7 linked regions of the Oryctolagus cuniculus genome follow. The protein of the gene in region 5 interacts with the protein of the main gene of each other region in a pairwise test. Links are inferred from orthologs where the notes say so. Each region holds a gene or a part of one and is shown on either strand. Other genes may lie near its edges.

What was found.
Region 1: the proteins of KASH5 (region 5) and STX5 interact in binary tests that used the Homo sapiens proteins (3 or more experiments, as listed by UniProt). The two-hybrid records come from large-scale screens. The link is inferred for Oryctolagus cuniculus from reciprocal best matches to the Homo sapiens genes KASH5 and STX5.
Region 2: the proteins of KASH5 (region 5) and EMD interact in binary tests that used the Homo sapiens proteins (3 or more experiments, as listed by UniProt). The two-hybrid records come from large-scale screens. The link is inferred for Oryctolagus cuniculus from reciprocal best matches to the Homo sapiens genes KASH5 and EMD.
Region 3: the proteins of KASH5 (region 5) and NSG1 interact in binary tests that used the Homo sapiens proteins (3 or more experiments, as listed by UniProt). The two-hybrid records come from large-scale screens. The link is inferred for Oryctolagus cuniculus from reciprocal best matches to the Homo sapiens genes KASH5 and NSG1.
Region 4: the proteins of KASH5 (region 5) and SENP2 interact in binary tests that used the Homo sapiens proteins (3 or more experiments, as listed by UniProt). The two-hybrid records come from large-scale screens. The link is inferred for Oryctolagus cuniculus from reciprocal best matches to the Homo sapiens genes KASH5 and SENP2.
Region 6: the proteins of KASH5 (region 5) and BET1 interact in binary tests that used the Homo sapiens proteins (3 or more experiments, as listed by UniProt). The two-hybrid records come from large-scale screens. The link is inferred for Oryctolagus cuniculus from reciprocal best matches to the Homo sapiens genes KASH5 and BET1.
Region 7: the proteins of KASH5 (region 5) and UPK1B interact in binary tests that used the Homo sapiens proteins (3 or more experiments, as listed by UniProt). The two-hybrid records come from large-scale screens. The link is inferred for Oryctolagus cuniculus from reciprocal best matches to the Homo sapiens genes KASH5 and UPK1B.

The regions. Positions count from the first base shown.
Region 1 is NC_091432.1:8,759,337-8,763,547, forward strand, and holds the start of STX5 (syntaxin-5), read left to right. Parts: upstream 1-1,375; 5' UTR 1,376-1,379; coding exon 1,380-1,607; intron 1,608-1,833; exon of another isoform or gene 1,834-2,117; intron 2,118-2,244; coding exon 2,245-2,484; intron 2,485-3,342; coding exon 3,343-3,413; intron 3,414-3,577; coding exon 3,578-3,633; intron 3,634-3,750; coding exon 3,751-3,821; intron 3,822-4,211. Other genes in the region: WDR74 (WD repeat-containing protein 74), read left to right, coding at 96-152, 430-609; TEX54 (testis-expressed protein 54), read left to right, coding at 801-873, 988-1,202. UniProt on the Homo sapiens protein: Mediates endoplasmic reticulum to Golgi transport.
Region 2 is NC_091453.1:132,604,044-132,608,393, reverse strand, and holds EMD (emerin), read right to left. Parts: upstream 2,891-4,350; coding exon 2,809-2,890; intron 2,655-2,808; coding exon 2,547-2,654; intron 2,404-2,546; coding exon 2,326-2,403; intron 2,114-2,325; coding exon 1,980-2,113; intron 1,065-1,979; coding exon 1,018-1,064; intron 939-1,017; coding exon 617-938; downstream 1-616. UniProt on the Homo sapiens protein: Stabilizes and promotes the formation of a nuclear actin cortical network. Stimulates actin polymerization in vitro by binding and stabilizing the pointed end of growing filaments. Inhibits beta-catenin activity by preventing its accumulation in the nucleus.
Region 3 is NC_091433.1:4,764,536-4,768,973, forward strand, and holds the start of NSG1 (neuronal vesicle trafficking-associated protein 1), read right to left. Parts: upstream 2,924-4,438; 5' UTR 2,791-2,923; intron 2,407-2,790; exon of another isoform or gene 2,275-2,406; intron 1,916-2,274; 5' UTR 1,890-1,915; coding exon 1,761-1,889; intron 1-1,760.
Region 4 is NC_091435.1:95,245,903-95,250,130, forward strand, and holds the start of SENP2 (sentrin-specific protease 2), read left to right. Parts: upstream 1-1,404; 5' UTR 1,405-1,617; coding exon of another isoform or gene 1,618-1,718; intron 1,719-3,789; 5' UTR 3,790-3,924; coding exon 3,925-4,028; intron 4,029-4,228. UniProt on the Homo sapiens protein: Protease that catalyzes two essential functions in the SUMO pathway.
Region 5 is NC_091449.1:7,997,742-8,001,382, forward strand, and holds part of KASH5 (protein KASH5), read right to left. Parts: intron 844-3,641; coding exon 766-843; intron 503-765; coding exon 446-502; intron 187-445; coding exon 127-186; intron 1-126. UniProt on the Homo sapiens protein: As a component of the LINC (LInker of Nucleoskeleton and Cytoskeleton) complex, involved in the connection between the nuclear lamina and the cytoskeleton.
Region 6 is NC_091447.1:41,915,498-41,919,808, forward strand, and holds the start of BET1 (BET1 homolog), read left to right. Parts: upstream 1-1,389; 5' UTR 1,390-1,598; coding exon 1,599-1,617; intron 1,618-4,311. UniProt on the Homo sapiens protein: Required for vesicular transport from the ER to the Golgi complex. Functions as a SNARE involved in the docking process of ER-derived vesicles with the cis-Golgi membrane.
Region 7 is NC_091435.1:75,698,195-75,701,835, reverse strand, and holds part of UPK1B (uroplakin-1b), read right to left. Parts: intron 1,699-3,641; coding exon of another isoform or gene 1,474-1,698; exon of another isoform or gene 1,345-1,473; coding exon 1,165-1,344; intron 1-1,164. UniProt on the Homo sapiens protein: Component of the asymmetric unit membrane (AUM); a highly specialized biomembrane elaborated by terminally differentiated urothelial cells.

The sequences.
Region 1 (4,211 bases), on a different chromosome or scaffold from region 5:
TCACCCCTAACTCTGTCTTGGAGCCCCTGCATTCTGTGCCCCATTCCTGTCTCTGCCTCAGGCCAGGGCTCCTCAAGGCCTTTCCTCCTTTGCAGGTTTATCTCAAGTCTCGACTGAACTGCCTGCTCCTGTCAGGCAGGGATAACTGGGAGGTAAGTAACTGGGTCTGGGAACACGGCAGCCGAGGACAGAGAGAGGCAGCTGGAACACACAGGGGGCTGCCCAGTTACTACATTTTCCTGGGGTGTGAACAGCTGAAGTTCTGACAGGGTGACTGCCAAGCGTGGCATCTCCAGGAGCTTGGACAGCAGTGGTTGCTGGGAAAATGACAAAGGTGCTGATGCTCAGGGGAATTGCCTCCCAGGCAGGGCTTCCTTCCCGGGGTCTGTCACTGTGCCTCTGACCCTGCACTTCGTTCCCACTCTCCAGGATGAACCCCAAGAGCCTCAAGAGCCCGGTGAGCTGCCCTCAGAAGACAGGGAGACGGATGAACTTTGGGCATCTTTGGAGGCAGCTGCCAAGCGCAAACTCCCTGATTCGGAGCCGGCGCAAGGGGCTCTCCAAAGCAGACGGAGAAAAAAGAAGCGCGCTGGCTCCACCAGCCCTTGAAGACCCTGTGCCCGTTTTGTAAATAAACAGCTCAATACCCGCATGACCCTGAGCCTTTTGTGATGGGAGGAGAGGGGTGGCTTGTGGGGGCTCCCTGCGCTGGGGCAGTGGGATATCTGACGTCACAAAAGCCGGGCCTGGAGCCAGGCAGGCTGGCGTGGGTGGTACGGAGTCAGGGGCCGTGCGGGGCCATGGGCTGCTGCCAAGACAAGGACTTTCCGACCACCGATGAGCAGGCCAAAGAGTTCGAGGGAGCTGGGGAAGGTAGGACCAGGGGCGGTGAGGGCCCGGAGGCTGGGGAAGGCGCTGCCCCGGGGGAGAGCCCCGGAGGTCCGGCCGGGGAGGGTAGAGGTGATTTCAGCGGCCTCGTCCCTGCAGGCGCCCACGGAATCGATTTGGACTCCCCTGGCCACCGGAATCGCAAGTCGAACGAAAGCCTTCTGATCACCGTGCTGTGGCGGCGGCTATCCCTGTTCAGCCGCCGGGGCTCCTCGCGGTCCGGCAAGAGGCAGTCAGAGCAGATCCAGAAGAGGGAGAGTCCCATCCCGGAAGACAAACCTGAGGAAAGCCAGGAAGAGCCGGAGAAGGGGTGACCCCAGCCCTGCTGTCAGTCCGCCGCAGCCCTCAGAGAATAAAATTTCTAACGTGGACCCGCCAGATGACTCGTACCCTCTGCAGCCCGCTCCGTGGGCTGTGGGCTCAGGGGCCCCGGAGGCGGCGGGCTCTTTAAGGCTCCGTCCCGGGGCGGGGCTACGGCGGCGGCCCGGCCAATGGGAGGGGGGAGCCACGCTTGCGTCTGGGCGGGGGGCGTGCCTCCCAGGTCGCCGGGCTCGAAAAGGCGTGGCGCTGCCTTCCCGTCACGGGGGTGGGGTTACGTGTGGGTGACGTGGCGGACCCTAGGTTTCGGTCGGATTTCGGCGGCTTCAGAGCCCGGGGAGGAGGCGGTGACGGTCCGGGAGGCTGTGGCAGTAGCTGCGGCGGCAGGCGGCAGACAGGAGGTAGGATTCGTCCTGAGGGCGTCTGGCCGCCGTGTAGCTCCTGGGCAGCGACTTCACCGGGGTAGCGACGGGCGGGGGAAGGGAGCCGGGAACGAGCGGGCAAGTCCTGCCGGCCCGGCTCCGGGTGAGCGAATACCACGACGTCCAATCAGGAAAGCCTCTGTTGAGAAAGACGTCGGCGTTAGCTAATGAGTGGCGCAGTCCTTCAGGAGGCGGGACTTTGGCAGGGGTGGGACTTCCTGTTTCAAATAAACACCTAGAGGTTCCCTCTCCGCCCACCGAAGTGTGTCCCCCCGCAGGAGGTCCGTCACCGTTTCTTCCCGAAGGGTCAGAGGCAACCACGGCTATGCGGGGGCCCAGTTAGGGGCTGGGGCAGTTGCACAGGCCGGGCTGGAGCCTCAGGGCCTCGGGACCTGGCTCTGGCTCCGCCTCGGGGCCCCCTACCCGCGCTCTGGCCGCCGGAGCCGAGTTGGAAGAGTCTGAGGAGGGTTCGACCCGGGCCCGGAGGAGGTGGGGCCCTTCCCGCTGCGCGCCGGCCCCGGGGTCTGCGGGTGGCCCAGGATTTGCTGGTTGGAGGGGCGTTTGTGGGGAAGGCGTTTGCACTGCTTGGGGAATGACTCTCTCCCCTCCACGACAGAGGTTATGCGTCTCAATGATCCCGCGGAAACGCTACGGGTCTAAGAACACGGATCAGGGCGTCTACCTGGGTCTCTCGAAGACACAGGTCCTGTCCCCTGCAACTGCTGGCAGTAGCAGCAGCGACATCGCCCCTCTGCCCCCCCCAGTGGCCCCGGCCCCCTCCCCTCCCGACACCATGTCCTGCCGGGATCGGACCCAGGAGTTCCTGTCCGCCTGCAAGTCGCTGCAGAGTCGTCAGGTAAGGCCCAGAGTGGGAGCCTCGCCCACATCCGGGCAGGTCTGCTCCCCACCATCAGGGACACGTGGGCTTGGGAAGAAGTTCCCCGGAGGGTCAGATTGATGGAATGCCTAAAGGGCTGCAGGGTTTTTGGATAAGGAATAAACCTAGAAAGAGCCACCCGCTGTGGGGCACGCACCTTGAATTGTGCTTGCAGTGTGGTCCTGCCGTGAGTTTGCTCTGCGACTCTGGGGAAATTAAAATTTTCAGTCTGTAAAACAGAGAGAGACGGTGGGGGAGCAGAAGGAAGTTTTCCGGATGGGCCGTTTTTATCCAAGTCATTTTGGAGTGTTTGTTTAAGAATTAGAGTCCCTAGTTTAAGTCCCCAGATTTTGACACTAAGTGGGACCTGAGTAAGTATTTTAAAATATTTTTATTGTTCAGCTCTTGTTGACGAACTTCTCTTCTCTATGGTCTCCAAGAGCTTTCGGGTTCTCCTCTTTGATGCCGATGTGAGGGATCTTTCTTTAGTGCCGCAGGTGGTTGGTTAAAATCCTTTACAGCCTTTATGTTATCTAGTTTTGGCAGCAACTATCAGAGGTGAGTGGATTGTCTTCATCTTCAGGGAGAGGAAACAGATGTAGAAGAGTTTAACTTGCGCTAATTCTGCTAATTAGTGGTAGAGTCCAGACTTGAGCTTAAGCCTGCCCGTCTTCAGATCTGGCTTCTGAACACTATTGCTGATAAATCTAGGCCAGCAGAACTGGAGAGAGCTTGGGGGGAGCACGAGAGAGAGCTTGGGGGGAGCCCGAGAAACGTTGAAAGCTGGAAGTGGGGAGGAGGAAAGTGAAGTTTTCACCTCCGGACATTGCTTTTCAGAATGGAATCCAGACAAATAAGCCGGCCCTGCGTGCTGTCCGACAGCGCAGTGAATTCACCCTCATGGCCAAGTGAGTTGAGAGCAGCTTTGTGGCAGGGTGATACAGTGTCTGGAAGGAAGCTTGCTTTTGGTGACTTGGCTGTAAGGGCTGGGATTGGCTGTGCTAAGAGCTAGTGTGAGAATAAGCCCTCTCCCTCCCCCTTCCATGGTGTTCTCACTGTTGGTCATTTGCAGGCGCATCGGGAAAGACCTCAGCAACACATTTGCCAAGCTGGAGAAGCTGACAATCCGTAAGTATTCATGGGATCTTTTACTGGTTGTGGGATGAACCAAAGAGGGCAGAGGAGCCAGCCCCCTGAGCCTTGCCTTTGTTCTCACCCACCGTGGCTTCTTGTTTATCTCTGTAGTGGCAAAGCGCAAGTCCCTCTTTGATGATAAAGCAGTGGAAATTGAGGAGCTAACATACATCATCAAACAGGTGAGCTGCTAGGTAACTATCTGGAGAACCCAGCATTCTGTTCATCACTGCCATCGTTTTCCACTTGCCAGAGCAAGCTTCTAGAGCCAGCCCTAAACACCCTTCTCCAGTAAGTCAGTGGACACATCTGTTGACACAAACAGGAAGCGAGTCTTGCATTCTCAACAACAAGAGGAGAAGTATTCCAGCTGCATAAACCCATACTTAAAATGAGTAGGAGGCAAGTGGTACTGAAAAAAGCTTACGAAAGGCTGGCGCCATGGCTCACTAGGCTAATCCTCCGCCTTGCGGCGCCGGCACACCGGGTTCTAGTCCCAGTCGGGGTGCCGGATTCTGTCCCGGTTGCCCCTCTTCCAGGCCAGCTCTCTGCTGTGGCCAGGGAGTGCAGTG
Region 2 (4,350 bases), on a different chromosome or scaffold from region 5:
TATCACAGTTCTTTTCTTAAGTAGTTACCAGTGCTTTGGGGAGTCAGGGAATAAACCCCCAAACAACACATGAACCTAGTCAGCGGTAGCATTTGATTCCTATGCCAAGACCAAAGCAAAACCACAGAATCAATAAAGCCAGGTGACAATCCTTAAAAAACCTTAAGACCCAGAGACCCCAAAGCATGGCAGCCAGCCTCTCCCCCAGCAGGAAGAGCCAACACATTAAAAATAAACGGTCTTTATTGCGTCCACGAAAACAAAGTCGAGGTGGCCCTTGGTTAACCTCAAAAAGGTGACAACGAACAGGAGGCATGCATGAGCACATGACAACATCTCTGAAGGAGTGAAGTCTTGCCCTCCCAGGCCCTAAGGGTCAGAGGCAAGCAGGGCCAGGAGGCTCCAGAGGAAGGCACGCCCAGGCCTACCAGAACGTGAAGGGCCCGAGTCTGCTGCCTCCCTGGTGGGAGCAGGCAGGGGGAGCAAGCACTGCTCAGGGCTAGGCCCAGCCCCCAAAGCTAGAACACACAGAAAAGCCCCCACCCCCACCCCCAGCACACACTGCACTAAGGCAGACAGCCAGGACTTCAAAGAGCTGGCTCTGAAATCAAGACCCTCAGGGATCCATCCAGAAGGGGTTGCCTTCCTCTGCCTGCAAGGAATAGTAAACAAAGAGCAGGAAGGCAGCAAAGACCAGGAAAAGCAGCAGCTGGCCCCAGAGTGGGACCTGGCGGTCCTGACCCAGACCAGCTGCAGGGGCCTGCTTTTCTGGTCGGATGGCACGGCGGGCGAGCCATGATGGAGAAGGCGAAGAGGCCACAGAAGAGGAGGATGCAGGGTAATAGGACAGGCCCAAGGAACTCCTGGAGACGTTGGAAACAGGGCGGTAGTGTGCGATGCTCTGGTAGGCACTGTCACGGCCATATGTGGAGCGTTCCCTAATGCAAAAGAGGGGAGCAGGTGAGCCAGGAGAGCTAGGCCCAGAATCACTGCTCCCAGGGCCTTCCCACTACTCACCTGTCCTTGTCCTCCTCTTCAGAAGAGAAAAGATGGTCACTGCGCACCTGCAGACCAGAATCGAGGTGACGGGACTGGCCAGCAGGGTCAGCACAGCCTGTCGTATTACTCAGCCCACTCTAACCATTGCTTAAAGGCCAGACAGGGCAGGCATTGTGGCGTGGCAGGTTTGGTTGCCAGTTAGGGTGCCCATATCCCATACGGAGTGCCAGTTCAAGTTTTGGCTGGTTTGCTTCTGGTCCCCTGCTACCCCTGTGGAAAACCTAGATGGAGTTCTGGGCTCCTGGCTTTGCCATGGCCCCCATCCTGGGCATTTAGGACATTAACCAGGGGATGGAAGACCTCACTTTCTCTTTTTGTCTTCCTGTTGCTCTGGTTTCAAGCAGATGAAAATAAACATTTTTTTTTTTAAGATTCTACTTATTTATTTGAAAGGCAGAGTTAGAGAGGGAGAGATCTTCCACCTGTTGGTTAACTCCCCAAATGGCCACAATGGCCAGGGCTGAGCCAGGCTGAAGCCAGGAGCCTGGAATTCCATCCAGGTCTCCCATGGGAGTGGCAGGAGCCCAAGTACTCACACCATCCCCCACTGCTTTCCCAGGCACAGTAGCAGGGAGCTGGATCAGAAGTGGAGCAGCCAGGACTCCAACCTGGATGCACATGGGATGCTGGCACTGCAGGCGGTAGCTTAACCTGCTGTGCCACAGCACTGACCCCAGAACCCTCTTTTCTCCCCCTGGATTCTGAGTTGGAACTTCAGATCCTGACCAGGGTGCAGGCCACATCCTGTGTGCTCTAGTCAAATACTCTTGACACGCCCCGTAGCAAAGTCCTAACTCATCCTAACTCTCTCTGGAAACCTAGGAGCTAGCATTTGTACCCAGTGATGCTGGGATTTACCCAAACCCAGCTGTCATCCCTTCAAGCTGCCCCCGGATATGAGGTGCCCGACGGCAGCTCACCTGGTGGTGGGAGGTGTCAGCATCAGAAAGCGAAGTCCCGGGTTGCCGGAAGCCTTTGGATGTGCCCACAGACTCGGGCTCCCCGTAAGTCCTGGTGCTCAAGTAACTCTCCTCGTAGTAGTCATCATTATAGCCTTGAAAAAGGGAGCACTGGTAGCAGAGGGCAGACCCGTGTTCCCCAGCTGCTCCAGGGACCCTTATTTAAACAGCGTTTTTGGGGCCCCTCTCAGGTCGCTGAGGCTGGTGGGGAGTCGAGGCCTCAGGTTTTCCCTACGCCCACGGTCCGGGACAGGGTGGGTGAAGGTGTTGGGGTGATGGTGTTAAGGGTGTCAATTCCTTGCCTTACCCTTGCTCTGGTAAAGTAAGGCGTCCTCTTTCTTGGGCAGGTCGTACTTATCCGAGTCCACAGATGCCGAATCCAAGTCTGAATTGAGGGGGGGGACGAGACCATTTTCCCCCAGGCTTCCCTCCCTTCTTCGCAGTGCCTCTCTCGGCTAGCAACCCACCCCCCACGCCACACCCTCGAAATCCCACCCTCCCTGTCACCACCGGCAGCCAGCTGCTCACCCGAGAACCGATAGGAGAACGAGGAAGCAGACGAGTTGGGTGGGGAGAGCCTCCGCCTCTGGGTCTCGTACTCGAAGATTTTCTTTTCGTAGAGCTTGCGAGTGGAGCCTGACCAGACAGCGGGCGCGGGGCGGTCAGGGTCGTGGGCTGCGAGCCCAGGGAGGGAATCTGGGTAGGGGACGCAGGCGGGGGGTACCGGGGGGCTGCGAGACGGCGCGCGGGAGAGCGAGTCCCGGGAGGCGTCCCGCCCGCTCCCGCGTACCCACGACTGGCCCGTGCGGAATGTTGTACTGGCGCAGCACGGCGGCCAGCTCGGTGTCCGACAGGACCGCGTAGTCGTCCATCGCGGGCGCGGCCGGCAGGTGGCGAAGGGCTGGGGGCAGCCCGGGCCTGGCGACACAGGCCAAGCAACACCACTGCCTCGCAGGGCTCGGGAGCGGCCGCGCTTGCGTCACGTCTGCGTCACGCTCCCGTCATGGCCGCGGGCTCCGCAGGCTGCGCGCGCTGCGCGGGGCGGAGCCAAACCACAAGGAGGAGCCGGCACGGACCGGTCTAGCTGTGGGAGCGGGCGGGGCGGGCCTGGCGAGCTCGTATTTCAAAAACGTGCGAGATTGGTTTGTGGCGGAAGAGGGGCGGGGCCTGTGTGGGAGCCAAAGTGGCTCAGACTACTCAGGCCGTGGGAGTGGGCGGGGCTGCACGCTCGAGAAAAGGGGCTGGACGGGCACGCCAAGACGTCACACGCAGGCGCTTCTGAGCTAGACTCGCGGGAGGGGCGGAGCCTATGCGACCCGAACCGGTAGAAACCGGCCAGAACGTGGGAGCTAGGGAGCCGGCGGCGTGGGTGTCTTTGCGGTGGTTCGGGCCGGTTGACTCTTGCCACATCCCTGCGCCTGCACTCGTCGTCCCCCTTTTCCCGGGATCCCAGGCCGAGGGTTCTCCCGCAGCAGCGGGAAGGAGCCACCCTTTGCACAGCGCCGCTCTCGGGCCAGCCACTGCTGTCTACGCTTTGGGTGCGCTACGCGGACCCCCTGGCCCAGGCCGGCCTCGCTGACCTGCACCGGCCCTCGCCTGCGCACCTGCGCCCATCGGTTCCCATCGCCTCCCTCCCTCCTTCCCTTGCTCCTCCCGCCCTCCACCCGGGAGGAAATGGGGCACTGGGCCAGGAGGACGCGGGCACTCCTGGAGCAAACAGCCTTCGAAGGGGCCCGGCGGGCCGTTCCAGCGGGCACGGGCAGAGCGCGCTTCGGAGAGGGAGTGTGCCCTCCCAGCCCACCCTACTGTCAACCCGGGGTACTGGGTGGAAGGGAAGGGGGCTCCAGTCGGAATGGCCCTGAGCCCAGTGACCAGGAGGGGGCCGGGCAGGGGCAGAGGAGCCTGGTGAGCCGTGAGAGACTGCCAAGGCTTGCTCAGGTTCCTGTACTGTGGCTGGGTTGGCAAGGGTCTTAATCAGAAGAGGGCTGTCCCCTTGGGGAGTCGAAAGGAAGTGACAGAAGTGGGTGCATGAAGAGATGAGGTGCCGTCCTGGCCTCACAGATGTTAGCTGGTGACAAGAAAGTGCGAGGGCTCTGATCAGCTCCAGGCTGAAGGGCCCAAACTGGTGATGGTCACAGGCCAGTTCTCTGAGGAAGATTGCTCACACAGAATGGGGACAGACAGACCAGGGAAGAATGTGGAAGAGACGAGGCCCTTTGACCGTAGACAAAAACCCTAAGGAAGAGGGGTTTCCGTTTGCCAGATTCTAGAATAAAGACCTGGCCCAGTCTGTTCCTAGCAATGTGGGAGAAGTTGTGTGCATTCCCAAAGA
Region 3 (4,438 bases), on a different chromosome or scaffold from region 5:
GGGTGACCCCTGCGAGGCACCCACTTCTTGGGACAGCACCCCTTGGGCGTCGCCCTCCTGTCCTCAGCTGCACCTGAGCAGCCCCGTGGCCTTGAGCACGCACTTGACCTGGAGCCATTGTGAAATGGGAGCAAGTCTCATCCCTGGGCTACGGCAAGGCAGAGGAGACCCACGGGACCCTCAGCCCAGGGTGGGGGCTCGGTGGGTATTCTGTGGACCCTGCCTCCGGCACTAACAGGTGAGGTGACCTGGGCACTCTCTCTGCCTCTGTTTCCACATCTGGAAAATGGGCCGGATGGTGGTGGCTATTTCCGTGAAGTGGAACAAGCGCCAGTGTGAGGTGAGACAGCCCTGCCCTCGCTGCGGCTCTGGGACGGCTGTGCCTCCGGGGGAGGGGGCCTCGCCTCCCTGAACCCCGACGCTGAGCAGCGCGGGTGAAGCCAGGTCTCATGGGAGAGCTGCCTGGCTGCAAAAAGGCAGGAGCCGGGGGGGGGGGGGGGTTGCCCTTCACCGGTGACCCTGGGCAGGCGTCAGCTGCCTCGGTCCTGCCTGGGAGTCCCCCCTCTGGAGCAGCCCTGCCCGGGACTGAGACTCAGTGCCTTCCCCAGCCACCTGGCGGCCCCACGGGTTAGCAAGGGGTTCACACCTGCCGGAACCCCCCCTCCCTGCGTGGGACAGGCTCGGGCGCAGCAGACAGAAGCAGTTGATAGAGGGGCTGCCTCAGCACGAGGAGTGGGCACAGCTGTCTCTGCTCTCGGGCTGAGCAGGGGTCTGGGCCAGGCTCTGCTAATTGGGCGCACCTGACCTTGACGGGGAGCGGGGGGTGGGAGCAAAGCCCAGCCGGGATCAGGAGCGTCCCCAAGGGTCCCCATGGCAACCTGGGTGCCCAGATGTGACCAGCTGGTCCCCCTTTCCTGCCGCCCCCTCCCCCCCACGCAAACCACAGACAGCAGAGCGGAGAGAGTCACACCCACTTTGGGGAGCTGAGTGAGCCCCTCGAAGGGTGCACGTGGGGATACAGGCGGCACCACCGAGACCTCATCCCACCCCCGCCCAGCTGTCAGCAGGTCCTCAAGCCTTGGGTCAGAGCCCGAGGGCGACTACCTAAAACCACCAAGGCGAAAACACTTCAGCTAGCTCCGGGTACCCCCACCCCCTTGTGGCTTTTTAAAAAGTAGCAGCAAGGTGCTGGGAACGGATGCTGGGTGTCTGATTTCAGATCTGCGAGACGTTTACAGATGGGAGTCACCTGTTTAAGCACGAAGTCGTGAAAACACTGTTCTAGCGCATGCAAACGAGTCCAGAAAAAAAAAAAAAAAAAAGCAAAGCCCACCCCGGGCCCAGGTGGAAGAATCAAGGGGTCCCCACTTCCCTCCCTCCATTGGGTGCACCGGGGGTCCCTGGAGAACACCTCCCTCCAGCACCCACACCAGGCCAGCGGGCAGAAAGGGCAGGATTGGCACTGCAGCACCAGGGGGGCAGGGGGCGGGCGCCCCCGCACTGGGCTCACCCCAGAACCAGAGTCCCCGGGCACGCGGGATCGGGCGACCGCTAGCCCCTGGATCTGTCCACGAAGGGACGTGCTGCCCACCGAGGTCACTTATCAGGGTGCTGACCCCGAGGCGAGGCCTCCCACCCACCGCCCCGCTCCAGAACCGCGGGCGGGCACGCTGTCCCCGCCGGGGCCGCCTCTGCCGCACGCGCCCGCCCCGCTTCGCGTCTCCGGCGCGCGCGGCGCGGGGGTGCCCGAGGCCCCTTACCTTATCCGGGGGCGGGAACTGCAGCTGATTGACGTCCAGGGGCGTCATCAGGGGAATGGTGTCGAAGCCATCCTCAGGCAGCGGCTGCTTGCTGCCCTTGTCGGCGAAATTGTTCCCCAACTTCACCATGGTTCCGGGAGACCCGAGGCTGCCGCCTGCGGAGGCAGGGCCGGGCGGGAGTTACCGCGAGCAGGACGCGGGGAGGGTCCGCCCGCCGGCCCGGCCGACGTCTCCGGGGAGGGGTCGAGGGGACGCGGCGGTCACCGCCGATGCGGAGTGGGGGTGGGGGCGCGCTCTGCATTTGCGGAGCCACCTCGCTGCGCGCGCAGGGGCGCCCCGCGGCCGGCGAAGGGCCGCCGCCCCTGTCCAGCCCGTCTGGGCGCGCCCCTTGCCCGGGGCCCGCCGCGCCCTGGCCACCCCGCCCGCCCCGGTCTCCCCACCCGCGACTCGGGGCGTTGAGCGGCCCCCGAGCCCCGCTCCCTGGCGGGCGGCGCCCGGCCTCGGCCGCACTCACCCCACGCCCGGCTCCGGCAGGTCTGGGCTGCGAGCGCGCTCCGAGCCTCCGCGTCGGCCGCTCCTGCGCGCAGCAATGGCGGAGGCGGCGCCGCGCGGGGCTGGCGCGGAGCAGCGATTGGGCTCGACTGCGGCCCCCTCCTCCCCGCGCCCGCCGCCTCCCTTCCTGCCGCTCCCGGGGTTAATTGTGCGCGGGTGGCGGCGGCGGCGCCTCCGCCTTGACGCAGCGCGCCCGGCAGCACAAAGGAGCGCGCGGCCGGGCGGGGGAGCCTCCCCCGGGACCCCGCGGCCGCCCCAAGCCCGGGGACAGCCGAGAAGGGGGCGGGGGTGGGGCGCGCCCCGCTGGGAGGCTTGAGGGTGGAAAGGCGCCCCGGGGCGCGAGAGGGTGCGGGCTGCGCAGGCCTGGGGCGGTGGCGGCGGCGCGGGCGCAAGGCGATTCGAAACGAGAAGGGGGGTTTAGGGCTGGAGCGATCCCCCAAAGGTGGGGGGACGTGGGGAGTGGGGCAGTCGCGCAGACCTGGGCGTCCTAGGAAGCGTTTGGAGAGATCCCCAGAGGCGGCGGGCTGGGGCCGAGTCCAGAGCCTCCCCTGGTGCTGGGCCGGGGTGGGAGAGGCGACGGGCGGCAGGGTCCCGTGGGTGCGGGATGCAGGGCTGCGCCTCCGAGAGCGGGGGACGCGGGCGCCGGAGGGCAGGTGTCCGGGGCGGAGAGCGCGCGGCGCGGTGAGACCGAGGGGCTCCTGCAGTCTGGCCGGAGCGGAAGGCGAGATCCCGCGCGCCCGGCGGAGGAGGGGCCGCTTGGACGGTCCCGGGCGCGCAACGAGGACGCGGGGTTCTAGCCTGACCCGCCCCCCACCAGCCAAGCCGGACCGCGTCGCAGTGGCCCGGATCAGGGGGCCCGCTTTTGCGGACCTCCAGAAGGAGGACTTGGGGCACTCGCCCGAGGACAAGCTCCGGGGGCGCGCGAGGATCGCGGCCTCCCGGGCACCTGGAAGGCGTTCACACCCCTTGCGAGCGGTGGAGGATCGGAGGCCTGGGGTTTCCCGTCAGTTCGGGAGTCTCCGGGAATAAAGAAAGAAACGGGGTTGGGTGGGGAGCGGAGCGGGACCCGCCGCGGCCGGCCTGGAGCGCAGGCCCAGTGAGGGAGCCTGCCTGCCGTAGAGGGTGCGGGGAGGTCTGATTTCAGAATCCCCCTCCCCCGGCCCCGACCCGTTACTGGTGAGCTCCTGGGCTCTGCTTCAGCCTCCCCAAGTCTCCAGCAGAGGCTTGGCGGGGTTTCGCGGAGGAGGCGGGGGTGGGGGTGGGAGGGAGCCGGGCCATGCTCTCCCTAAGTGGTACCTGGGGTCCACCCAGGAGGGATGCGGGCTCTGCCTCCGGCCCCTCCCACCGGCCTTAGGCAAGGTCACAGCCATCTCCCACTTGGAAGTCACTCCAGCCACCAGTCCTGCGACAGGAGAAACCACATGGGCTTAAACGGGGGAGTGGCTCTGTCCCCATTTCAGACCTGTGCATGTCACAGAACCCAATATATGTGTTGGTGGTGTGTGCACTGGGGGTGTGGCAGCTCCCCCTCTACTGTACCCCACCAGCAGGAAGGAGGCTGCAAGGATGTTGGTGAGCCTGGGGCTCTCCTTTGTCAGGGAGGGTGGAGAGGACAGAGAAAAGCATCCCCCACCTGCCCCAAACACAGGATGGAGGGGGGTGCATGTGGGTGTCAAGAACGCCTTATTGGGGTGGGGCCAAGTTCAGAAGGAAAAAGCCCAGAGTCTTGCAGGGGTCAGGGGAGGATACAGATGCGATGAAAAAAAAAAAAAAATACCTTAGAGTGCAGGGCTTTATCAGAGGCTGAGGCCCCCAGTTCCACACCCCCATTTTTTTTAAAGATGTATTTATTTGAAAGAGTTACACAGAGAGAGGAGAGGCAGAGGCAGAGAGAGGTCTTCCATCTGCTGGTTCACTCCCCAATTGGCTGCAATGGCCGGAGCTGCGCCAATCCGAAGCCAGGAGCCAGGAGCCTCCTCCAGGTCTCTCACCTGGGCACAGGGGCCCCAGGACTTGGGCCATCTTCCACTGCTTTCCCAGGACACAGCAGGAGCTGGATAGGAAGTGGAGCAGCCAGCATCCATATGGGATACGGGCACTGCAGGCGGGTAAAGCTACGCCACAGC
Region 4 (4,228 bases), on a different chromosome or scaffold from region 5:
GGCACCAACTGGCAGAAAAGTCCCAGGTGGGAGCAACTATAAGGATGAGTCTCCATTTCTTCATTGCAGAGGGTAACTAAGAGGACTTGCAGGCCGTGGCAGGAGATAGGGAGGTTGGGGAATGTGAGGGCGGGCAGCACGTTGGTGTGCGTTGCCCCACTCATTTCTGGAGATATCGTTTGCTAAGGACTTGTGATAATGGCTGAAGTCTGTAATATTGAAGCTTTCTCACGTTTCATGGCTCTTACGAACTTTTAGTATTGAATTTGTGCCTGTACAATGAATGAGGCAGGAAAAAAAAAGCAAACAGTTTGGTTTGCACTGTGGTCTAGGAGACTTGATCTCAATTATTTCTCAAGTCTTGGTGACCAGATCAGAATAGGTTGCTATTCCAAAGAAACGAGCAGTTTTCTGATTAATTTGGAAGGGAAACTGCTCTTTTGTTTGGAGAATCCCTTAGTGAGTTTCTTGCAAGTTCAGGAAAGTCTGGGACTCCAGCCTGAACTGAATTGCAGGTAAAAAAACAAGTGGGGTTCTGGGATTTGTGTAGCATGAGAGCTCCCAGGATTGTTTCAGGGAGGTAACCGGATTTTTTTTTTTCTTTTTTATCACTAATCAGGATGAGACTTGTTCTACAGTTGATAATTAACCAGAGTTGCGACCTCTAGATTTTAGAAGGAAGTAATGAGACTCACTGTGCCAGGCCAGGGGAGCAAACAAGTGTATTGCAGGCCACAGGTGTCTTCATCCTCACCTCTGCGAAGCCTTCTTTAGGAGTCTGCTCTTTACCCTGCCTCAGCGCATAGTTTTCCTTTTTCTGGGTCCCCTGCACTTTGCACTATCCTTTATCACAGCAACCAGTCATTCCGTATTGTAATCTAGTTTCTCCCGGTAGAGGGAGGGATCTCAAGGCCGAGGGACTGACGCTGGTATTTATACCTTGGTTCAAACTTCAGCTATACCGCTAGTCAGTTTTGTGATTTCCATTTCCTTTATTTGAAAAACGGGCGAAAAGACGCCCTATTGCCTAGGGTCGCTGAGAAACCTGAAGGAGGTATAACACATTCAAAAGTAGGGGGAATATGTCAGATAAAGGGCGACTGAGCCGGTAGTCTTTTGTTAATTAGCCTGACCTACCTTTATCCTGTATACTCAAAAACTTATTGAGCACTAACAGCGCTCTAGGACCTCGGATGGCTCCGGGGTATGGCTCTCACGTGTGGCTTGTGGGCCTTGTCTCACGGGCCGAATCGGGACTGGTTCCGTACAGAGGAAGCCCCGCCCCCGCCCCCGCTCCCTCGTCAGTGATTGGCCCGGAGATCGTTCTGCCGTTTCTGGTTGCCAGGATCGCTGGTAGGGGGCGGTACTAGGTTGCGCTTGCGCATATCGAGGAGGAAGCTTTCCGGTCGGGCGGGAGGAGGTGACGTCAGGCGCTGTGGCGGGCGGGCGCCTCCCCTAGCTGTGTGGACGTTTTATCTGTGGGCCTTGTTGTCACGTCACAAGTCAGCGACTAGGTCTTGGCGGTGGTGGCCGAGTCGGGGAAGGCGGCAGCGGCGGCGACAGCTCTGGGGTTTGCGTCTCGGGGTGTGTCGGCCGCCGCTGCTGCTCAGGCCTGGTATGTACAGATGGCTGGTTAGGATTCTCGGCACCATTTTCCGTTTCTGCGACCGGTCAGCGCCCCCCTCCCGGGCCCTTCTGAAGAGGCGGCGCTCGAACAGGTGAGCAGAGTGGGCTGAGCGCTGGCTTGGCCGTGCCCCTCCCCCACATCAGGCTCCTCGGCGGGCACTGCGCTGACCCAGCCGGGCGGGCCCTGCTCTGCTTAAGTGGGTCGGAGAAGTGCGGGGCGCGGGTATCCTGATGACGTAGTCGCGCCCATCAGGCTGGTGTGTGGAGGCGCAGCTCGTGATGAACGAAGGGGCTGTTTGTTTTTGGAGTTGGAGGGTGATGGTGGGCTCTTTAATATTCTTGTCAGAGTCCAAGCTGGTGGCTGGCAACACATGGGATTTGGCACGTTTTGCTGCTCTTAGGCTGAAAAATAAAAATTGAAGGAGTGCTGTCTGTGCTGCGGCTCTGTCTACGAAGCACACTCCCAGCTGTCAGTTAAGGGAAGTGAGATTCATAGCTTACCCAAAGCCCTTTTGACTGCGAGTACTGTTCTTTTAGCACCACAAACAGCAGCTGTCTTGTTCTGAAACAGCTGTCAAACAGTGTGTGTGCGGGGCCCCCTGGGGTGAGGGGGGGGGTTGCTTCTGTGCTTTAGAATTAGTATATTAGAAAAAAAAAATTAGGTGCCAGCTCCTTGTTAAAGTTCACTGGTCCATTCCTAAAATTTGGGAGAAACTAAAAACTCTTCCGACTTAGTATCTCCTTGGCTTGTCTCATAGGGTCCCACCTTCCATAAGAATCTAGAAAATAAAGTACCACACAAATTCTGTACACCGCCCACCTTTTCAGCTCTCAAGTGTAAATTTGAGTTTTTTTTTTTTTTTTTTTTTTTTTATTAAGCTGGTCAAGGTCAAGGAAAAGTAGGGAAAAGATTGGTTTCTGGGAGCTTGAGAGAACAAGATGGTTAATACATGAGTCTGAGAATGTAGTCATCAATAAGTTTGATCGCATATACTCCAGAGAGACGTGGTTTCAATTTACTCCTCTTTTTGAGCTTTCTGTAGGGTTAATGTGAGGATAATTTGAGAACATGTTGTAAAGTGCCTAAATTGATGCTTAATATGTATAGAAGTAGTTTATTCTACCCTAAGGGCTTTGTTCAGAATCAGGTGCAGGATAAACATTTGGTGCATACTTAATGTTAATTTACTCACGCTTGTTCTTTCTTTTTGATGTGAATTTCTGCTGATGACTGGGAGTTCTTTACTGCTCTTTAGGGATTCACATCCTTTATCTAAAACTGCTCTTCTCAACATAAGCCAATTTTCAGTCAGGTCTTGAGATGTTTAATGGCAGAATGTTATTTTCCTTGGATCTCATTCTGTTAAATTTTTTAAAGATTTATTTATTTTTGGAGAGGCAGAGCTACAGAGAGAGGGAAAGACAGAGAGAGGTCTTCCATCCTCTGGTTCACTTCCCAAATGGTCGCAATGGCTGGAGCTATGCTGATCCAAAGCCAGGAGCCAGGAGCTCCTTCTGGGTCTCCGATGCGAGTGCAGGGGCTCAAGCACTTGGGCCATCTTCCACTGCTTTCCTGGGTCATAGCAGAGAGCTGGATCGGAAGAGGAGCAGGCTATGTGGGATACTTGGCACTGCAGACGGAGGCTTAGCCCAGTATGTCATAGTACCAACCCCATCTATTAGTTTATAAAAATATGATTAATCATAAGGATTCAGAAAGATGATTACTAGTATACCAAGATACTAATATTCTTGACTTGTTGGTTTAGAAACCTTCCTGATTCCAAAGTCTTTATTGTGATGTAGTTTCCCATGATAGAAATGTAGTTAAATGTAGTTAAATGTATTATCTTTTGCTAGCTAAGAACAGTCTTAAGACTGCATATGTGTCACTTGAAGTAAAACAGAACTTTCTTTGGGGTTGTCTTTCAAAGGGAACTTATTTACTTGTTTTTAAATTATTTCTGTACAGGAAAAGAGAATAATAGGCCTAGGCCTTCCAGGTTCATCTACTAGCTAAGTGACTTCTGCCCACTTTCAAGTTTGTACTTTAGCCTACAGATTATTACATGGTAGAGAATTGGGTTCTTTCTCAGATAGTTGAAACCATAATTCTTCAAATGCTGAAGAACTATAGAATAGCATTCTCTTTTTATTTTAAAGGTTTGTTTTTGTATCTGAAAAGCAGAGTTACCCAGAGGGAGAAGGAAATGGAGAGGAAGATGGAGAGAGAGAGAGAGAGAGAAAGAAAGAGAGCGATAGCGATAGCTATCTTCCATCCACTGGTTTACTCCCCAAATGGCCTCAAACCCTGCTGAAGCCAGGAGCCTGGAACTCCATCTGGGTCTCCCATGTGGGTCGCGGGGCCCAAGCAGTTGGGTCATCTTCCACTTCTTTCCCAGGTGCGTTATCAGGGACCTGAATCAAAAGTAGAATAGCGGGGACTGAAACTAGTGCACATATGGGATGCTGGCTTAACCCACAGTGCCACAACACTGGCTCTACCACATTCTCCACATTTTTTAAAGAAGTATTTTATTTGAAAGCGTTACAGAGAGAGGTAGAGCCAGAGAGAGAGGTCTCCCATTCCACTGGTTCACTC
Region 5 (3,641 bases):
CAGGCACAGAGAGGGTCGAGCGGGAGAACAGTGACTCGGCGGGTGCAGAAGACCTGGAGGCAGAGAGGCCCCAGGAGGGGCAGCGAGTCCAGACCCTGCACGGAGAGAGCGAGGGCAGCCCGTTACCTGGGTCGTCGTCCTGTACTCCTCCAAGGTCTTGGCCAGGCTCTCCGCGTGGCTCGTGCGCTGCGGGAGCCCAAAGCCCGTAAGCAGGGCCCACTGCCCAGAGGCAGGGGAGCTGCTACTGCTGGGCACTGGCAGGGCACTGAGGGGACAGGCTAGGGCCTGAGGACAGCACAGGCAGAGGGATTCCTCAGCCTGCAGGGCCACATCTGGGACCCCGGGGGAGCCGGGGTCAGACCCAGGCAGGACGTCCCTCGCCCGACTGCGACGGACCAGGCAGGTGACCAAGGCGGGCAACCCATCCCCCTCCCCGGCCCCTCACCTCGGAGAGGACGGCGTCTCGTTGGCAAATGAGGCGTTCACACTCGTAGAGCTGCCGCTGCCAGGGAAGAGCCCGTGTCTGTCTGGCCTCTGGGACTCCCCTCAGCCCTGCCCTCCCCAGCCCCGCCCTCCCGCAGCATCCCTGGCCGTCAGCCACCACCACAGGGGTCTCAACCGAGCCCTGTGGGCGGCCTCACCGGCCTGCCGGCTGGAGCGCTATGGAAGACCCTTGCTCTCGGCAGCCGTGGTGGCTGAAACCCGAGGTGGTGCAAACGGCCCGGGGATGCTGGGGAGGTGCCAGGCGCCAGGGCGGGGCAGCACCTTCAAAGCGTCCTTCTCCGTGGCCAGCTCCTCACTCCTCCTCTTCACTCCGTCCCGCTCGGCCAGCAGCTTCCCGTTCTGGAAGAAAGGGCCTCTGGCATCTGCCGAACGCGAGTGCAACCTTCCTAGAGGGGCCCTGGCTGTTTGTTTGTTTGTTTTTAGATTTATTTATTTATTTAAAAGGCAGAGTTACAGAGAGAGGGAGAAACTGAGACAAAGAGAGATCTTCCATTTGCTGGTTCACTTCTCAAATGACTGCAACGGCTGGAGCCGGGCAGACCTAAAGCCAGGAGCCAGGAGCTTCCTCCGGGTCTCCCACGCGGGTGCAGGGGCCCAAGGACTTGGGCCATCCTGTACTGCTTTTCCAGGCCACAGCAGAGGGCTGGATTGGAAGAGCAGCCGGGACTAGAATTGGTGCCCCTGTGGGAGGCTGGCACCACAGGTGGAGGCTTAGCCTACTATGCCACAGCGCCGGCCTCTTTATCCCCCATTTTAAAAGATAACTCGGGCGCAGAGAAGTCCAGCAGGCTGGCCCCGGTTACACTGGTGGTAGCTCCAGTACCTACATGTTGATGAGCGTAAAACAGCCAGTGTGTTTTCCTGGCAAACATCAAATGCTTGATAGATGGTGTACAAGCACGAGGGGTCTCCGACGTGTTCACGGGAAGATGGAATTCCCAGTTTGTACCAGTTTGGGGCGGGCACTTGGCCCAGTGGTTAAGATGCCACCCGTTAAGACATTTGCTTCCTGGGTTTGCTCCCTGCCTCAGGCTTCCTGCGGTGCAGACTCTGGGAGGCAGCACGGACAGCTCGAGTAACCGGGCTCCTGGCACCCGCCTGGGAGCCCGGGGTTGGGTTCCTAGCCCTTGGCTTGGGTAAGACCACTTCAAGCACCAGGGGAGTGGGCTGAAGACAGGATCTCTCAAGGTTTTTATATAAAGTTGTTTAGTTTGGTGTGAACAATGTTTGAGATCTATGCATTCCTCATAATTCTCATTTCCATGAGCTTTTTTTTTTTTTTTTTTTTTTGACAGGCAGAGTGGACAGTGAGAGAGAGAGACAGAGAGAGAAAGGTCTTCCTTTGCCGTTGGTTCACCCTCCAATGGCCGCCGCTGCAGCCGGCGCACCGTGCTGATCCGATGGCAGGAGCCAGGAGCCAGGTGCTTTTCCTGGTCTCCCATGGGGTGCAGGGCCCAAGCACTTGGGCCATCCTCCACTGCACTCCCGGGCCACAGCAGAGAGCTGGCCTGGAAGAGGGGCAACCGGGACAGAATCCGGCGCCCCGACCGGGACTAGAACCCGGTGTGCCGGCGCCGCAAGGTGGAGGATTAGCCTATTGAGCCACGGCGCCGGCCATCCATGAGCTTTTTGAACCCCCTCATGCATATGTGTACACAAGTATCTACATGAGAATTTTATTTCATATTACTCCTGTTTATCTGGAGGCAGAGACACAGGGACGAAGATCCAGCCGCTGAGTCACTCCGCAGACGCCTGCAGCAGCTACAGCAGGCCAGGCTGAAGTGAGCCAGCAACTCAGCCTGGGGCGGCCGGGATCCCCGCACTGGCCCAGGGTGCGCACTAGCAGGGGCTGGAAGTAGGAGCCGTCGGGGAGACCTGAACCCAGGGGCTCTGAGACGGGATGCAGCGTCCCAAGTGGCACCTTAACCATTAAACCAAAGGCCTGCCCTGCTTATTTAAAACTTTATTTACTTATTTGAGAGGCAAAGAGACAGACACAGAGAGAGCCAAAGCGCTCCCATCTGCCGGCTCGCTCACTCCCCAAATGCCCACAAAGGCTGGGTCGGGTCAGGCTGAGGCAGGGCGCAGGAAACTCAACGCACGTCTCCAGTGGGTGCTGGAAACTCAGTGACTGGAACCGTTGTCACTGCCTGCAGGAGCAGGAAGCTGGAGTCAGGAGCCAGAGCTGGCATCCAACCCAGGGATGCGGGCACCTGAACTGGTGTCTGTTTAAAAATACCTGTTTATTTATTTGAAAGTCAGAGTTACAGAGAGAAGAGACAGAGAAAGAAAGAGCTCTTCCATCTGCTGGTTCACTTCCCCAGATGGCCACCACAGCCAGGGCTGAGCCAAATCAAAGCCAGGAGCCAGGAGCTTCATCCGGGTCTCTCACATGGGAAGCAGGGCCCAAACACCTGGGCATCTTCTATTGGTTTCCCAGGTCATAGCAGGGAGCTGGATGAGAGGTGGAGCAGCTGGGACATGAACCGGTACTTATATGGAATGCGGGCGTCGTAGGGGGCAGCTTTACCCGCTAGGCCACAACGCCGGCCCCTGACGTGGTCTAGGCTAAATGCAGGCCCCGACTCGATTATTATGAAGCACATCCCAGCCACCCACTTCCGCTGCAGTCCCTCGGCACTGATCTGTTTGAGGACTCGCTTCCTTGAGTAAAAGCCACTTCCAGTATCAGCATCGTGGGGATCGACAACGTCTTCGCCTCATCCCGTACCTTGAGCTTTCTGGTGTGACTATCTCACAGATGTCTCTGCACGTTTGGTTTGTTCAGTGAGGACCCGCAGAAGGCCCTCCACTGCTTTCGGCTGAAGGGTTCCATTTCTTTCCATCTCACAGTGACTTTTCTTCGTCATTACTTCCTGCGACTGAGCGACCTAGGGGCTCGCCCAGACCCCGGTTTGACTTTTTGGCGAGAAGACTTCCCGGAGGCGCCGTGCCCGCCGTCCTAACTACTCACAGAATCACCACCCTCAACCGCACAGAGGACACTGAGCACAGGCTAAGAAACGTGGCCAAGGCTGCACGGTGAGCACGTGGATCCAGACCCCAGCACGCGTGATTCCAGATCCTGCATTCAGAACCTCAGACCCTCCTCAATGCCAGACGCAGCCCTGGGG
Region 6 (4,311 bases), on a different chromosome or scaffold from region 5:
GTAACAAAGATGTAAGTCTCAGCCATTCTTGCTCATTGCCCAAAAGATAGATAAACATTGGCATGTATTCCTTACCCTTGAATCTCAATTGGATCTCACATCCTATTGCCTTCATACCCCACTCCCACAGCCACCTGAAAGACCAGTTGCTGGAACACTTGAAAGACCAGTTCCGGGAATTCCCCTCCACCTGCTGCTCCCTAATCCCACCCCCGCCTCTAGCCCTCCTAAAATATAAACAGGCCAGGACCCCCAGGACGGGGGGTCAGGGCCTCCTGCCACGTGTTCCATCAATGTGCAGGAGGGCAGTTGGTCATTCACCTCTTCTAATTTATTTTCTCTGAATAAATTCAGTCTGGCTGTAAATTCATTCACTGCCTCCTCTCTATTCTGCACCTCTTTTCCTAACATTTATGGTGCCCCGTGTGAGGAGGCACCAATCTGCAACTCTTTTCCTAACAATTATAAAAACTTATTTTTGTGTTTTAAGAAAGCAACTTTAAGGCAGAAACTGAAGTCACAGCTACATCACTGTCACAATGGGAAACCGAGGAAACAGGACATGATGAAGATTCAGAGACCTCTAGCCGGGAGACCATTACCTTGTCACACATCAGCAACATCAGAACGCAAACACCAGCGGACTCCGAGCATTTCCTGCGTCCCAGATGTCTTCAAAAACCATTGCTGCAGAGTCTCCTCAGGGTACCTCATCCTGTGAGATAACACGAAATTCTCACTTGACCCAGGCAGCAGCACCAACACACTCCTCACCACACCCTACCCCAAGCACTGAAAAACCCCAGTCGGCACATTGCTATATGTAAGGCAGTATTCAGCACCACGTGTCTAAGGGATTCAGGCGTGCTCCCTAACCCCAACGATGCTTCTAGAAGGGAGCCGAGGGAGCAGCAGGGAGCCGGCTCGCTGGGGGCTCCGAGAGACCCCTGCTGCCTTAGCCCAGCACGAGTCTCCCCCCCTGAGTGTGACCAAGCACAAATCAGTTAGCCTCTGCTGCCCCGCCAGTGGGTCTCGGACTACTTGTTTGCAAGACGAGAAACTTGGACGAAGTTCTCTCAGACTTCCCTGAACTAACTCTGCAGGTAACAGTGAGTACCAGTATGAATCAGGAAAGGTAAGTCAACCACCTCTCGTGGGCCGGGAGAAGCTGAGCTATTGTGTTAAATGTAGGGACCTGTAGGCAGCTAATCCCACGGCCCTAGCATACGGGGTCACGGTACCGAACAGCGAGTTTCAGGGTCCGGAACAGGAAGCCAAAGCGGATGTCGCCCCTCTTCCGGAAGTCCCGCCCACTCCAGGAAGCGAGTCCCCATCGCTCCTCCAGCCATGCCCTTTACGACAACAGCGAACTACTTTTCCCAGAATGCCATTCAACTCTCCTCGCGGAGCACCAATGGGCGCCCGGGTTGACGCCATCAGTCGGCGCGGTGTACCAGGCTTCAGTGATGTCGTGGCGCTTGGGGTGAAGAAGTTGGTGCTTCGCGGCGCCCTGGGACTGAAGACGCGGTCCGGGTGACCTCTGGCCCTTTCCTAACTTCTCTACCCCCGCCTGCCTTTTTCCTCCCTCTTCTGGCGGGATGAGGCGTGCAGGCCTGGGTAAGAAGAGGTCCGAGGTGCGAAGTGGGGAGCCCCAGAGCCGGCCTTGGTCGGCGCGGGAGAAAATCGCCCTGGTGTCCTGTCACTCGGCATCTGGTCCAGAAACGGCGTGTGTGGAGGGGAGCCATGCAGGCGGTGCCTAGTGGAAGCACGTCATTTGTCCTAGATCTTACGGGGGTATCCTTAGGTTTGGTCTCCGGACCCGAGTCTTGGAGAGTAGCATAGGACTGGGGTGCGGTATATGCAGGTGCCAGCTCAGTCGTCGGACTGTGTGCTGTGTGGTGGCCTGGCCTCTCTGCTGTTTCTGCTTTCCTGCTGCCTCTGCCTCTTAGAAGGGAGATACGAAGAGTGGGGTTGCATGCTAAGCGCTTCCACAGTGATTATGTGAGTCGGCTAGCAGTGAGTGACAAAGGTACATGTACACGTCGTTACCTTACAGGCCTTGGGGTGTAAGGTCGGGGTCAAAGGCAGTGTGCCTGGAGCATTTCTTATCTGAACCTCTTCCACTGGTTAGCAGCTGTCGGGACTACCTCTTATGGTTCTGAAGCTCTGTACTAGGAGATGGTTAAACACGAGGAGGAGGAGGAGAAAGACGAGAAAGAACCCTGCTCTATCAGTGCAGCGTGATTGAGAATATATGTGAGCATTGGCGAAAGATGACTGTCTCTGCCAGCCGTGGTAATAACTTGGCAAAAACGAAAACAGGGCTTACGAAAAGTGTCAACTTTAAGGTCAATGAAAGTTGTCAGTGTGTCAGTGTTCTTTCTTAGTGCAGTTTTTGTGAATCTGGTTGGAGAAAGCCAGGTAAATTGAAGACAGAAAAGAATGTTGATCAAGTTTAGTTTTCACCAGCCTATGTGTTTTCTCAGTGTCTTTAGGTTGTATACCTGAATGAGCTCTAGCTATATAGTTGTTTTGTTACTTTCTTGGTGCTCCCCACAGCTGGGAAGTAGGAAAATGTGCAAAGGTAAATTATGGTACAAGGTGGCAGCTATACATCCAAACACAAGATAATGTTCTGCAGATAATGTCTCAGAAATTGCAGAGATGGTGACCTTGAAGTAGACCATGAATAATGAAGTTAGGAAAGATGAGTTTCAGGTGAGAGGATCACTAAAAAAGAAAAGAAAAAACAAAGAGCATAGAACTAGGATTATGTAGCTAAGGAATTATGACTCAACCAATTTGATTGAACCAAGAAACATGAGACCACATTGTGGAGATTGCATTATAGGCCAAGGAGTTTAGATTTCCTAAATTGCCCTTGAGGCCCACTTATTTTTTGCACTGCACTCTCCCTGGTTAAGTTGCAGGAAGGGGACTTGAGAAGTAATTGTTCTCAGTCCTGATAGCACATCGATTAAGGAACTGTTGCTATAATTTACATTGTTATGAAGTGACGGTTTTTTTTAAAAAAACTTGAAGTGCCAGTGTGAAATGACCTGCAATTTTAGATTTGGAATAATAATGAATTTGATAGATATTCATGTGAAGAATATTTGTGTTGGTGGATGATGTTTTTTGCTTTTTTTTTTTTTTTTCAAATATTTATTTATTTGACAGGCAGGGTGACAGATCTTTTGTTTGCTAGTTTACTCCCCAGATGGCCTCAACAGCTAAAACTGGGCTAAACTAAAGCCAGGAGTCAGGAACTCCATCTGGGTCTCCTACATGGATGGCAGTTTGGCTCCTCCCCCACTGCCTTTCCAGCCACATTAGTAGGGAGCTGCTTTGGGAGCAGAGTAGCCAGGACTTGAACAGGCATCTGATAAGGGATGCCCAGCATGGCAAGCAGTGGCCTAATTTGCTACACCATGAGTCCATCCCTGGGGGAGGGTGATAGCTGAGAGAAGATAAAACTCTAATAGAAATATGCACTGAAAGATTTCCAGACAAGAAATAAAATGAGAATTTCATTTTAAATAGATGGAACAGGGACAGGTATTTGACCTAAGTAGTTAAGCCACTGGTTGGGGCAACTTTGTTGAAATGCTTGGTTTCTTGTCCCGGCTCTGCCGCCAGTTCCAGCTTCCTGCCAGCGCAAACCCTGGGAAGGTAGCAGGTGACTGCTTGAGTAGTTGGGTCCCTGGCATCCTTGGGGGAGCCCTGGATCTAGTCTCCAGTTCTTGACTTCCGCCTGGCTCAGCCCTGCTGTTCATTTGGGGGCACAGACTGGCCTAAGGGAGCTCTCTGTCTCTTTGCTTCTCAAAATTTTTTTAATGAATAAATGAAGCAATATAAAAGAAATCTAAAACTAAAATTAATGTATGTGAAAAGACCCAAACAAAGGACATATAGTAAGTAGCTATTCATTTAGAACTTGAAGAAGTTCTAGAATTTCTTGAAGTTACAAAGTGATTGAATCCAACCAGTCAGTAATTACTTATTGGGCAATGTTATATACTTTGGCTCTTAAACATATAAAATAAGTAGAAGATGTTTCCATTTCCTTAAGGATGTTGATCATTATTATAGATTGCACAGACTATTCATTAATAAAGTTGCATTTTTCAAGACAATGATTTTAGTTGTTGAGTGGGGGGAAAATGAGCCCAGTCTTTAAATTCATAACACATTAGCTTTATGGACAGTGTGTCAGCTGTTGGGGGAGAATTTGAGAATTTGGGTAGTGTAACTCTCTTGTTTGGATTGTACTTATTTAACATTTTGTTGGGGTGAAGACTGTGGGTGTTT
Region 7 (3,641 bases), on a different chromosome or scaffold from region 5:
ATATTGAAAGCATTTTATTAATACTGAGAGTAATAGTTCTATTGCATACTATGATTATAAATAATACATTTAATTTGTATAGAAGTCTGATTATAACTGATTTTTTTTTAAATGCCCAGAACAATGTGGCCATAAGGCTGAATGAGGATTGCTTTGACACTTACTGCAAAATAATCTACCTTGCTTCCTTCTCATTTTCTGGATCATTTATGTGCAGTCTTAGTCTGGGTACCCTGCCAGATCTGGCACCAGGATCAGCAGTGTGGTGTCCTGCGTGCTGGACATGCAGTTTGTCATATTTACTCCCAAACTAAAGAGCCTGACATTTTCTAACTATTTAAAGAACCCTCCACAAGGGGGCAGCTCCCAAGGCAGTATAGAGCATGACAGTGCAATGTCAGTGGATGCTGACTCCAGGAATATGGGAGTCCCCATGAGAGCCTTTGAGAAGTCTTACCAAGCCTCATTGGCACGTAGGCTGTGCTCGGATGAGCATTTCTGTGTTTCAGTCAAATAGGGGACACACTGGCGCCATCTTTTCAGCATCCGTGGAATTAGCATCTGCACTTAGAACAGTGTCTGGCCTTTAGTAAGGACTCAGTGAATGCTTCGTGAACATTTTATCAGCCTCCTCTGCCTGAAAACAACTTCCTCAAAAAACAAACCATATGTGAACTTCCTAAATCTCCAGCAAAATACTCTGTTAAAAACACAGTCACACTCCGCTGGAAAAGGAATGTGAATGTGCAGTGACCTCGCTGGCCCTCAGAAATTGCCCCTACTTTGGAGCTGGCAAAGCATTCTGTGTGCATATCATCCCTTCCTATTTATACGATGCGAAAGCAGAGCAGATCTCCGTTTAAGGAAACCATTTCAATACAATTCTATACCAATTCTACACACTGTAAAATCACTTCATTAAAACAAAGTTGGGTTCTGCTATTGCAAATCTCCTGTTCTGTTTTATTAAAATGCAAACTTCCTCATAGCAGCTCTCAAAGGGCATTCACAGTTTATCTACAGAGAAGGGGGAAATGGTTAACATGAGGTTGGGGGAAAGGATGTAGCATTCTGTTCTGAGAGAGCGTTATCTACAGCTGACCATGCTTTCTCATAAAGAGCGGGAGAATGTTCCGGCAGGTCTCGGCAGGAGAGAGGACTCACCTGATTGTGGTAATAACCAGGCACTCCTAGTTTGCAAGCCTCCAGGTTGAGGGGTTCTTTAAGATTGGTCATGACACAGCACTGGCGAGGCCAGGGATAGTCGGCATCATTATTCTCAGCTCGGAAGGCAGACGTGTATTTCTGCCAGTCTGATGGGCCATTGACGCCACAGCAATTGTCCTGTCAGTGGATGAGAGACACACATTCCCTTTCATGAGCCTCGCTCAAGCCATCGATGTAGCAAGTGAACTTTTAAACAGAAAGAAGAAGGGGCCGGGCGCTGTGGTGCATCCCATATGGGCGCCAGTTCTAGTCCTGGCTGCTCCTCTTCTGATCCAGCTCTCTGCTGTGGCCTGGGAAAGCAGTAGAAGATGGCCCAAGTGCTTGGGCCCCTGCACTTGCATGGGAGACCCGGAGGAAGCTCCTGGTTGCTGGTTTCAGATCGGCGTAGCTCCAGCCATTGCGGCCATCTGGGAAGTGAACCAGCAGATGGAAGACCTTTCTCTCTGTCTCTGCTTCTCTCTGTAACTCTGGCTTTCAAATAAAATAAAAAAGTTTTTAAAAAGAAAGAAAAAAGAAATAGAGGGGCCAGTGTTAAACTGCTCCTTGCATTGCTGGCTGCTCTGCATCTATCCAGCTCCTGCTAATGCTCCCTGAAAAGTGGTAGAAAATGACCCAAGTGCTTGGGCCCCTGTCACACATGTGGGAGACCTGGATGGAGTTCTGGTCTTCTGGCTTTTACCTCACCCAGCCCTAGCTGTTGTCATATGGGTGTGAACCAAGGATATAAGATATCTCATTCTGCCTCTCAAATAAATGCATAATTTCTAAAAACATTTATTTATTTTAAAGGCAGAGTTACAGAGAGGCAGAGGCAGAGAGAGAGAGAGAGGTCTTCTATCCACTGGTTCACTCCCCAGATGGCTGCAGTGGCCAGAGCTGTGCCGATCCAAAGCCAGGAGCCAGGAGCTTCTATCCCGTCTCCCACGCAGGTGCAGGGGACCAAGGACTTGCGCCATCTCCCACTGTCCTCCCAGGCAATAGCAGAGAGCTAATTTGGAAGTGGAGCTGTCAGGATTTGAACAATGGGATGCCAGCCCTGCAGGCAGCAGCTTCACTCGCTATGACACAGCGCTGGCCCCTGAATAATTTTTTTTTTTAATAAAAGATTTATTTATTTACTTGAGAGGAAAGTTACAGATAGAGAGAGACAGAGAGAAAGGTCTTCTATCCTCTGGTTCACTCCCCAAATGGCTGCAACAGCTGAAGCTGGACTGATCTGAAGCCAGGAGCCAGGAGCTTCTTCTTGGTCTCCCAGGTGTATGCAGGGGCCCAAGTACTTGGGCCATCTTCCACTGCTGTCCCAGGTCACAGCAGGGAGCTGGAGTGGAAGAGGAGCTGCCTAGAATTGAATCAGCACTCATATGGGATACCGGTGCTGCAGGTGGAGCCTAAGCCCACCATGCCACAGCACTGGCCTCTGAATAAATTTTTTAAAAAACAAGAAGAAATGGAAATCATACTATATTTTACTTCTAACAAATGAGAGTTTCAGGGCTCAATAAATCAATTTAGAGTTTATAGAACATTTTTCATAGCTTTTACCATCTCATTAATGAACTCTGTAACCTGTGACATGTTATTTAAACTACCCGAGCCTCATTTTCTTTACTATAAAATTAGGATAAGTATACTTGTAGTGTCTGCCCCATAGAATTGTGATAATTAAGAGAGTTAACATATAATATGTTTAGTAAAGTTCCTGGATCACAGTAAACCTTTAATAAACAATTATTATTAATACAAATATCTTGAAGCAGCAATGCAAAAGAGGTATAATTATTCTAATATCACATGAGTAATTTGAGAATCAGGAAATTTATAAATTTACTGGTAAAGAAATTATGAGTAATTTTCTTGTTAGAGTGATTATGTTTTACTTCTAAAATGGCAAAGAAACTAGAAAAGCTAACCAAAACCTGGTGCCACACAGCCAAATCTCTTTATGTGAAAGGAAGTTTAATCACATGTGACTGATATCCTTACACTGTGAATAGGAATCCGGATAGAAGGTAAAACAATTAATATTACTTCCCTACCTTTTAGAAAGTAAATTCTATGAAAATATTTCAAGAGAGGAAGTTAAAACCATAGGCACCTCTTAGAATAAATGTAATAATTAAACATAATGATAAATCAATTATCCTGAAAGGATGTCCAGTTTCACCACTGTATTATGGAAACTATGCAGCCAGGAAAAATAATCATTCTGGTTTTTAAAAAAATTAATCATGAGAGAGAGAGAGAGAGAGAGAGAAAGAGATGAACTGTTCTTCTCCACTGGTTCACTCGTCAATGCCAGAGGAGCCAGGAACTCAATCCAGGTTTCCTGTGTTGGTGTCAGGGACCCAAATACTTGAGCCATCACCTGCTGCCTTCACAGAGTGTGCATTAGCAGAAAGCTTGAGACAGGAACA